Linked DNA regions of Yarrowia lipolytica. The protein of the gene in region 1 interacts with the protein of each later gene in a biochemical or structural test. Links are inferred from orthologs where the notes say so. Each region holds a gene or a part of one and is shown on either strand. Other genes may lie near its edges.

Evidence for each region.
Region 2: the proteins of YALI1_E00510g (region 1) and YALI1_E40467g form a complex in vitro, tested with the Saccharomyces cerevisiae proteins (2 studies listed by BioGRID, with this or other methods). The link is inferred for Yarrowia lipolytica from reciprocal best matches to the Saccharomyces cerevisiae genes MYO2 and CMD1.

Annotation. Positions count from the first base shown.
Region 1 is NC_090774.1:45,235-52,899, reverse strand, and holds YALI1_E00510g (uncharacterized protein), read left to right. Parts: upstream 1-1,702; coding exon 1,703-1,728; intron 1,729-1,859; coding exon 1,860-6,618; downstream 6,619-7,665. Other genes in the region: YALI1_E00527g (uncharacterized protein), read left to right, coding at 167-351. UniProt on the Saccharomyces cerevisiae protein: Myosin heavy chain that is required for the cell cycle-regulated transport of various organelles and proteins for their segregation.
Region 2 is NC_090774.1:4,045,368-4,048,664, forward strand, and holds YALI1_E40467g (calmodulin), read right to left. Parts: upstream 1,314-3,297; coding exon 843-1,313; downstream 1-842. Other genes in the region: YALI1_E40442g (uncharacterized protein), read left to right, coding at 1-13; YALI1_E40471g (uncharacterized protein), read left to right, coding at 1,798-3,189.

The DNA.
Region 1 (7,665 bases):
CAATCTTGACTGGAATTGGAGTGGTTGTTGGCACGGATCAACTGCATTGCTTATGATGAATCAAGCGGTGATCTCAGATCGTCTTCAATTCGGTTCTGATATGGACTGCACACCAGATACCAATCATGCTATCAGATATCTTCGCACACATCACATACTAACTCAGGATTCGCTACCAAGTTCCTTTCCAACAAGATCCGACTCAAGCCTGCCGGCTACTACCCTCTCGGATACGTTTTCTCCGGTGTGGCCTGGGCTGGCCTCGGACTCGTGCTTCACAACGTTCATCAGCACTCCTTGGAGGTTCTGGAGAAGAAGAAGACTGCTCTCAGCGAACAGCGAACGGAGTAGACACGGTTTTAGATAACAACGATAATTTATGCATGAATTGACATTTCATATTTGTCTGTAGTGGGCCATGCTTAATAAGCACCTCATTCTTTCGATTAATAAGCACTAATTAACAGTCCCAAGGTGACCCCTAACCTTTGTGTCCTCTTTCGTTTATTTGGCACGTGACCTAAAAAGGCTAATGCTAGAGACTGTCGCGTTGTGTAGAAGGTGTCACCCCGGCAACAGTTTAGCTTTTCACATGCCAGCCCTTGGTGACAGGCTAAAATAATAACAGTACGGTCTCAGATGATTGTTCATGCCGTCTCAGAACGGCTCTGTGTTTTTCTCTGTTTTCGGCGATCGACCAGAGGCACCATGTCACATGTTGAGCCCCTGAGCCCCCTGTTTTTAGCTTAAGCCATACGCATTTTAACGGTGCGTACTGCAGCTCAAGAATGCGTGTTTTTCGGGAGTCTCAGGGGTCCCGTCAGGTGCTGTGAACGCGGTAGGAGGGAGTGTTATCGATTAAACAAGTAGTATGCTGTCAACTTGTCGGCCCTATTGTTCTAGTCTTTTGGGCCCATTAATTTCCCTCAATTTCGCCCGTTTCAGCGCGGCCTTTATTTACTCATTTCTCACTTCAATTTCGCTTCGTTTACCGGTCACAGGTGTTTCAACCCCTTCTTTCGGAATGTGTGCAGGGGCGCATTATTTTGGACACGTAGTACCGGTACGAGTACATACGGGGGAGGTGAATCACGGGGGCCCACGAGGACAAGTACTGGAAATAATAATAATGACACGTGCCAGCGAGAAACAATTACACGGACATAGTTGAGTTGTATTGTATGTTTGCACAGAGTAGTGACTGATTTTTTTTTTTTATTGTCAATAGTCGGCTATTTACTGGAGATATTTCTTTGAAGATTGCCACAACGGACCTACCGCGTCGCTCCATGAAACAAACACCTATCAGAATTGGGGAGTTAGAATGAACATGCTAGATTTGGCGCCATTAGCTCCCGCTTAGGTGCCACCTGGACAGCTGCTGCTGCTGCTGCTGCTGCTGTCTTGTGTTTCGCTGAGCACGGTTACTTGCAGGTTAGCACTAGCACACAGAGTTTGACTTTCCTTCCAACACATCAAACAGGAGAAGGGTGTTTAGTATCGGGTGTTATCTATCTTGAGTAACATTTTGCAACTACGCTACCGACCACACTTGGTTCAAATTCCTTTGCGCTTCTTCCTACGACACAAGCCCACACGTGTTTTCCCCCGTCCACACGTCGTGCAATAGGCTTATTAATTCAACACACAAACACCACACCACCACACCACCACACCACTATCCACACGGATCGACGCGCTCATGGCCATCAGTTACGAGCCCGGAATGTGAGTATGACGAGAAGGGGAGGATGAACCGGCAATACCACGCCGAAAAAGCTGGTTTCGCGTTTTTTCGGCGTTTCATACGACTGTCAAAATCTCGTGATAAACCCCTAATTACACAACTGCTAACACAGCCGCTGCTGGATCCGAGACGAAAAAGAAGGATGGGTGGGTGCCGAGGTGGTCGACCAGAAGACGGATGGTGAGAAGGTGACCATCAACCTGACACTGGAGAACGGCGAGGAAAAGTCGGTAGAGACCTCCGTATCTGTGCTCAAGTCGTCAGCCGAGGTCCCTCAGCTCCCCCTGCGAAACCCCCCCATTCTGGAGTCCACCGAAGACTTGACTTCCCTGTCCTATCTCAATGAGCCCAGTGTGCTGCACGCGATCCGAACCCGATACCAGATGCTCAACATTTACACCTACTCGGGAATCGTGCTTATTGCCACCAACCCTTTTCAGCGGGTCGACAACCTCTACACCCCCGACATTATCCAGGCCTACGCCGGCAAGACCCGTGGTGAGCTTGAGCCCCATCTGTTCGCCATTGCCGAGGACGCCTACCGATGCATGCTGCGAGACAAGAAGGACCAGACCATTGTGGTGTCAGGAGAGTCCGGAGCAGGAAAGACCGTGTCTGCAAAGTACATTATGCGGTACTTTGCCACAGTGGAGGATCCGCTAGCACCACGAAAACGCGACGTGTCACAAGGTGACTCACTGTCCCACGTCGAGGAGCAGATTCTCGCCACCAACCCCATCATGGAGGCCTTTGGTAACGCCAAGACCACCCGAAACGACAACTCGTCGCGGTTCGGCAAATATCTGGAGATCAACTTCAACAAGGACGTGGACATTGTGGGTGCTCGAATCCGAACCTTCTTGCTGGAGCGATCTCGTCTCGTGTTCCAGCCTGCCACAGAGCGAAACTACCACATCTTTTACCAGCTGGTCAAGGGTGCCTCTCCCGAGCTTGCCAAGGCTCTAGGTGTCGAGGGAGGTGTTCCGGCCTTTCGATACCTCAACCAAGGAGGTAATGATACCATTGAAGGCGTGGACGACAGCGAGGAATTCAAGCTGACCGGTGCGTCTCTCGAGACTATTGGCATCGCCAAACCCGAGCAAGAGAGCCTGTGGAACATTCTGGCTGGTATTCTGCACATTGGTAACATTGAAATTGGCCAGACCCGTCAGGACGCGGTTCTGTCATCCGACGAGCCCTCTCTTATCAAGGCTTGTGAGCTGCTGCAGATTGACCCTGTCCAGTTTGCCAAATGGATCACCAAGAAACAGATTGTGACGCGAGCCGACAAGATCGTGTCCAACCAGACTCACAAGCAGTCGTTGGTGGTGCGTGACTCCGTGTCCAAGCACATTTACACGTCACTGTTCGACTGGCTGGTCAGCGAGCTCAATGGCGGCCTGTGCGACCCCAAAGTGCAGGAACAGGTCGAGACCTTCATTGGTGTACTGGATATTTTTGGTTTCGAGCACTTCAAGAAGAACTCGTTTGAACAGTTCTGCATCAACTACGCCAACGAAAAGCTGCAACAGGAATTCAACCAGCACGTGTTCAAGCTCGAGCAGGACGAGTACGTGCAGGAGGAAATCAACTGGACCTTCATTGACTTTTCCGACAACCAGCCTTGTATCGACCTGATCGAGGCAAAGCTGGGTATCCTCTCTCTGCTTGACGAGGAGTCGCGTCTCCCCGCCGGTAGCGACGATGGCTGGTGCACCAAGCTGTACCAGCAGCTAGATAATCCGCAGAACAAGCATTTCAAGAAGCCGCGGTTCGGCAACACGTCGTTTGTGGTTGCCCACTACGCCCAGGACGTCAACTATGAGGCCGAAGGCTTTGTGGAGAAGAACCGTGACGCTGTGCCTGATGAGCACCTCGAGGTTCTCATGGCCACCAAGAATGATTTCCTCAAGAACATTCTGGATGTGGCTGCCAACATTGCTGCTGAGAATGCCCCTGCTGCTCCTACCAAGCCTGGCCTGCGAGCCCCCAAGAAGCCTACTTTAGGCCGAATTTTCAAGGGCTCACTCATTGACCTGATGACCACCATCAACTCCACCAACGTGCACTACATTCGGTGCATCAAGCCCAATGAGGAGAAGGCCGCCTGGTCGTTCTCTGCCCCCATCGTGCTTTCTCAGCTGCGAGCCTGTGGTGTGCTTGAGACCATTCGAATCTCGTGTGCCGGCTTCCCATCCCGATGGTCCTACGAGGAGTTCATTTCCCGATACTACATGCTGGTCCCTTCTGCTGAGTGGGCCTCCATGGAGGTGCGAGATCTGTGCAACCTAATTCTAGAAAAGACCATCAAGGAGGAGGACAAATTCCAACTCGGAAAGACCAAAATCTTTTTCCGAGCAGGAATGCTCGCCTACCTGGAGCGGCTGCGATCCGACCGGCTCAACGAGTGTGCTATTGTCATCCAGAAGAATGTGCGAAAGCGGTTCTACCGACAAAAGTATCTCGACACCCGACAGTCGATTATCGCTGCCCAGACGCTCTTCCGAGCCCACATTGCTCGAGAGAGGTTCCAGGAGCTGCGAAAGGAGCAGGCTGCTGTCAAAATCCAATCTGCGTGGAGAGGCTTCTCTGGTCGACGAGACTTCAAGCAGCAGCGAGAGGGCATTGTCCGGCTGCAGGCCATCTTCCGGGGTGTTCTTGTGCGACGAAACATCCAGGAGGTGGCCCACAAGGGTGCTGCTTTGACCATTCAGCGAAACTTCCGAGGATATGTGGCTCGAAAGGAGTACCGTAACAAGCTGCAGAACATTGTGCTCATCCAGTCGCTGATCCGACGACGACAGGCCAAGCAACAGCTCAAGCAGCTCAAGGTCGAGGCCAAGTCCGAGAAGCACTTCAAGGAGGTGCAGTACCGACTGGAGAACAAGGTGGTCGAGCTCACCCAGAGTCTGACCGCCAAGCGGGACGAGAACAAGAAGTTGCTGGCCGAGATGGACATGCTGAACGCCCGATCTGCTGCTGCCACCGCCAAGTCCACCGAGAACTCTTCTCGGGTCGAGGAGCTGGAGAATGCCGCTGAGGAGAAGGAGCGAGCCCACCAGGAGGAGGTTCAAACCATGGAGCTGAAGCTGGCTGCGTTGGATAAGCAATACCAGGCGTCCGTTGCGCAGCTGACCGAGCTGGAGGACGCCAACGCTGCTCTGAAGCAGGAGCTCGAGGCCAAGACCAAGGAAGTCGCTGACAAGATTGAGGCCACCAACGTGCACATTGACACCAACAAATCTCTGAGCGAGCAGCTGGAGCAGGCCAAGCACGAGATTGAGAAACTCAAGCAGAACGGCGTGGTTGCCTCTGATATGGCCTCAGTGTCTCCTGTTCGAGGCACTCCTGGCACAGCAATGAACGCCAAGCGACGAAACATCAAGCGTCGATCTCTCACCTCTGCTGGCATCGTTGACGGTGCTGCTGCTTTCACTCCCCGACCTTCTGCCGCCGGCGCTGCTGCCGGTGCTGCCATGGGAGCTGCTGCCGGTGCCAACGCTGAGCAGATGATGGCTTCTCTCGGAGTCAATGGCCAGATTGAGCAGCTGCTCGAGTCCCAGAGCGACGAGCTGTATGATGAAGTGATCGAGGGTCTGATCCACAAACTCAACATCCCCATCCCCCACACGTCGGATGACCAGTTTCTGCCTCGAGAGGTGCTCTTCCCCGCCCACATTCTTAACCTGATCACCTCGGAGATGTGGCGGCTTGGCTTTATCAAGGAGTCCGAGCGGTTCCTGGCCCGAGTCATGGAGGCCATCCAGAAGCACATTCTGGAGCTCAGCGGCGAGGCCGTGATCTACCCCGGCGCATTCTGGCTGTCCAACGTGCACGAGATCATGTCTTTCGTGTGTCTTGCCCAGGCCAACATTGCCCAGAACGTGGACATTATGGACGAGATGGGCGAGTACGAGTTCCAGCAGTACGGACGTCTGGTACACGTGGTCAAGGCCGATCTGGAGAACTTGGAGTTTAACATTTATCACACATGGATGAAGGAGCTCAAGAAGCTACTGGACAAGATGATTGTGCCCGCCATTGTGCTGTCACAGGCTCTCCCTGGTTTCATGACCACAGACTCCAACGGCCGTTTCCTCGCCAAGATGTTCACCTCCAACGTGTCCTACTCCATGGATGATCTGCTCAACTTGTTTAACAAGGTGTACAAGGCCATGACCTGCTACTTCAACGAGAAGCACAGCGTGCGACAGTCGTTGATGGAGTTGCTGTCCATGATTGGCGTCAAGGCCTTCAACGACCTGCTTATGCGAAAGAACTTCCTGTCGTGGAAGCGAGGTCTGCAGATCAACTACAACATCACCCGAATCGAGGAGTGGTGCAAGTCGCATGACATTGCCGACGGCGTGGTCAAGTTGGAGCACCTTATGCAGTCCGCGAAGCTGCTGCAGCTCAAGAAGTCGACTCTGGAGGATATTGAGATCATCTACGACATTTGCTGGATTCTCACTCCCTCTCAGATCCATCGTCTGATTGGCCAGTACCTGTCTGCTGACTACGAGGCTCCCATCTCGTCCGAGATTATGAACACAATCTCCGAAAAGGTCAAGCTGGAGAAGAACGCTGTTCTTCTGCTGGAGACTTCTCCTCTGGAGGACTCTGGTCCGTTTGAGATCTGCGAGCCCCGTCTGCTCAAGCGGCTGGACTCGTACATCCCTGCAGTCTTGCAGGTGCCTCTGATCCGTCGATTTGTGGAGCTTACGACCTTGGCGTCTGGGCAAAACAACGAGGACCAGCATGGGAGGATTGATGGTGATATCTCTGAGGAAGCGGCTGCCGATAGTGTCAGTGCCGATCAAATGGTACCGGAAGAGTCCACCAACGGCTACCAAGAAGTGGCAAGCCAATAAGCGCTGTTTTTCTGAGCCCGCGGTCTTGTGGGTGTCTGACAGCGACAGCGACTCGGACTCGTCCGGCGTGTCTGACGACAGCTACATGTCCACCGTGACTCTTCCACGCGCTACTAAAAGACGGTACACTTTGATGAAGCCTCCGCTGTTACAGGGGGTTGATATTTTGTTGTGCTTGTCGCAGAATACCCACAATATGAAAAAATGAAAATTGAGTGTAATATGATTTGAAATTGATTGTTGAAGTTTCTGTGGTGTATCGTGTATCGTATGTTTAGGGCGGGGAGTTGTAAGGAACTAAAGATGGGTGTATAGATTGCGGGGTAATAGCACTAACGTGGATGGAACTACTACTTACAGTGTGGGGTGGGGATGGCTGTTGATGAATTCGCAAGGGATGTACTACTGCTACTGTACTAGTACTTGTATCTGTCTATGGGATGACATGGAGCATAGGAATGCGACTGTGTAGCCGTTGGCAAAAAAAAAAAAAAAGATGTAGTTCCACAGCTGTTTAGCAAGTGTTGGAAAAACAGCATGTACCGAATGTACGTAAGCAACTGATACAACACGAATACAATATGGTACAATGTACTCGTACTAGTACTTGTACTTGTACTGTACACCAATGGCTATATCAATGGCTATATGTATAAAAATGATTGAGTCCATGACAGCTATCACCACAGTGCATTCAATAAGAGGCAAGTGTGACAAGAGACAGTCGCTACAACCACGGTACTACTGTAGGATCGGATGAGAGGGTTCAACCACGAGACTGGGCGCAATGGCGATAATTCATGCTGTGATAACGACCCAATTGTGTATGTACGTACATTCGACATATTTATTTGATACACCGTTCTACTCATCCCGTAACCCTGATACCGCACTTGCACTTGTACAAGATTTGAGGAACCGTGTCTAATTGGGAATCTCTTCCGATCAAATCTAAGTAATGAGATGAAATGCATGGAATGAATAATTACCCCAAAGAAACTGCTCTAATAAGAGCGCAATTACAAGTACTGCGGCATAGGATACAGA
Region 2 (3,297 bases), about 4.0 Mb from region 1:
CTGCTCCATGTAATTGAGCTGTTTTGGTTACTGGCTGATTACGATTTTGCATATCTTAACTCCGGTATGAAAGTCTGAAACTGCGTTCTCGTTTGAGTTGCCTGGACAAGAATTATACGGCATTGGAAAGACGAATGCACAGACATGACCCATACCTTAAGAACGACGGCACTTTATGCTACTGTATCGTAGCTGGTATAGAAAGGCTACTATAATATATATATAAAAAGGGATGACGTTATTGTAGATGGGAAAATAGATCGGTGTTCGAATTCGGAATAACTGGGCACGAAAAGAGTATAAACATGTCGTATGTTCCGGAAAGAACAAATAAAAGTGAGGTTTGGGTTCAGGTGAGTTATTTTTAGAATGCACACTCCAAACAAAGACACTGCATCACCGTGAGACCCCACAACAACACTCAGCAGGCAGGGGAATTTCTGTACACCAACAACGGATAAACAGAGAGAACTACGCAATGCCAAGATATGTACAACAGAAAAAAATCACATGCTCTATTTCAAGACTCAAAGGGCGCTTATTTAGCAGACTGGGTTAGTATGGAAGTGCAATTAAAGGCGATACGGCGGATCCTTTGCTCTGTAACACACGCACACAAATAATTAGCTCGCGTGTAGCGCTACAGGACCGTTTTTCCACTGATAACAATATTGACTCAGCCAGTGCAGAAACGCGCTCAAAATGTGCACCACACGGGCTGTGTAAACAACAAGCAGCAGGGAAAAACGGACACAGCCGGTAGCAAAGAAGGGCCCGCTGCGCACGGGTGAGCGCCTTAGGGTCCCACGTGCGCGCGAGAATGAGCCAGAATTATCCCGACATCATGTAATAGTAGAACTCACCAGCAGCTGAACAAACTCGTTGTAGTCGATTCGGCCATCACCGTTGGCATCAGCCTCCTTGATCATCATATCAACCTCCTCATCGGTGAGCTTCTCACCAATGGAGGTCATGACGTGTCGGAGCTCCTGGGCGGAGATGAAGCCGTTGTTATCCCGGTCAAAGACCTTGAATGCCTCTCTGATTTCCTCCTCGGAGTCGGTATCCTTCATCTTTCGAGCCATCATGGTGAGGAACTCGGCGAAGTCAATGGTGCCGTCGTTGTTGGCGTCGACCTCGTTGATCATGTCGGCGAGCTCGGACTCGCTGGGGTTCTGGCCCAGACTTCGCATCACGGTACCAAGCTCCTTGGTGGTGATTTTACCGTCATTGTTCTTGTCAAACAGGGAGAAAGCCTCTCGGAATTCGGCAACCTGGTCTTCGGTCAGCTGGTCAGACATCTTGGTTAGCATTGCGGTTCGGTCGAGGGTATTTTCGATCGAGGGAATGAACGTGACGCAACCGGATTGTCTCGTCTTTTTAAGGGATGCTTGTATGCCACGTGTCAGAGGGTGTTTCTTGGGAGAGACCCGCACTAGCACGTGGCACAATAAAAGCAGGCCCTCACTTCCGAGTGCAGAATATTATCACGTAAGGGTTACCCCTGCTTTTTCTCGTCGTCATCGTACTTACCTTTGGTGTGTTGTGGTGTGTAGAGAAAGAGTAATTTGGATTCGGGGAGTTAGTTTAGTTTGCGTTCGCCACGGTGGAGAGTAAATAGAGCCAGGTTGGGAGTCGAACTGCGGAGCGTTAGGGTTATGCCACAGCACCCAAGCGCTGGGTACTGAACTGGAGCAAGACACTCGAAACAAAGTTTGTCTTGCAGATGACATACCTGGAAAGCGTGCATGCCAACAGCTCAACAATAGATCCACCAAACGTCCACCTAAACGAAATATGAAGGCCTGGCACTGGTCTGTCACCCTTGTGGTAATCTACCTGGCAATTCCAGTCATTCTCTATTTGCTCACCCGAAAAGATGACCGAAAACCGCTCAGTGACATTCGAAAACGGAAGAGAACCATTGTGCTGGTCCTCGGAGACCTAGGTCGATCTCCTCGAATGCTCTACCACGCTCGGTCTCTGGCACGAAGCGGACACAAAGTTGACCTGTGCGGATACGACGGCGCAAAGCCCTTCGACGAGATCCTCAACAATGATCTCATCAAGATCCACCACATTCCTTTGATCCTCAACACACGCAAACTGCCATTTGTCGTGTTTGGCATTCTCAAGGTTATCCGACAGCACTGGCTGTTGATTTCTCTGCTCTACAAACTGCGAGGCGCTGACTACCTACTCGTGCAGAACCCTCCCTCAATCCCTACCCTTGGAGTTGTAAGGTTCTACAACCTGTTCCTAAGCACTCGAACCAAGGTCGTTCTGGACTGGCACAACTTTGGCTACACCATCTTGGCTCTCAAGCTGCCCGAGACTCACCCAATGGTCAAGTTTGCTAAGTTCTACGAGGGTTTCTTTGGAGGTAGAGCCTTTGTTCATCTGTGTGTGACTGTTCTAATGGGTCAGGCTATGCGAAAGACATTTGGAATGAGTGGACGACGAATTGTGCCCTTGCACGACCGACCTGCTTTCCACTTCAAGCCTCTCAGCGAATCTGAGAAGCTCGATGTGCTCAGAGACTTTAAGGAGACTCTCTATGACGACATGATCGCTGATCACAAGATTATCGTGTCCAGTACATCGTACACTCCCGACGAGAACTTCAACATTCTCCTCGACGCTCTGGCTCTCTACGACGAATCCAAACTCGACCTCCCTCCTCTCCGTGTCATCATAACTGGAAAGGGACCCATGATGCCCGAGTTCTTGGCCAAGGTGGAAAAGCTGCAGTTAAAGAGAGTGTCCATTCGAACCGCCTGGCTCGAGTTTGCCGACTACCCTCGAATTCTGGGCGCTGCCCACCTCGGAGTGTCTCTCCATGAGTCTTCTTCAGGCTATGATCTGCCCATGAAGGTCGTTGATATGTTTGGATGTGGCATTCCTGTGGTGTCTGTGGACTACGCTGCTCTTTCTGAGCTGGTCAAGACCAACACCAACGGTGTGGCTGTCAAGGGCCACGTGGAGATGGGCAACACTTTCATGTCCTTGTTTTCCAACCGTGGAAAACTTGACAACATCAAGCGAGGAGCTATGATCGAGTCTCGAAACACCTGGGACCAGACCTGGGTCAAGACTGTGGGTCCTCTTTTCGACATCGGAGAGTACGTTCAACAGAGACCAGATGAGGATTACGACTTCAGCAGTAGCAGCAGCGACGACGACCACTAATAACGATACGAAAAGAGAAGGTGAGAAAAGGATAAAAGAGATGGACATTGATCCACACTACATATAACTGAATGCATTTTTATTGTACCACATAGGACCATTATAATG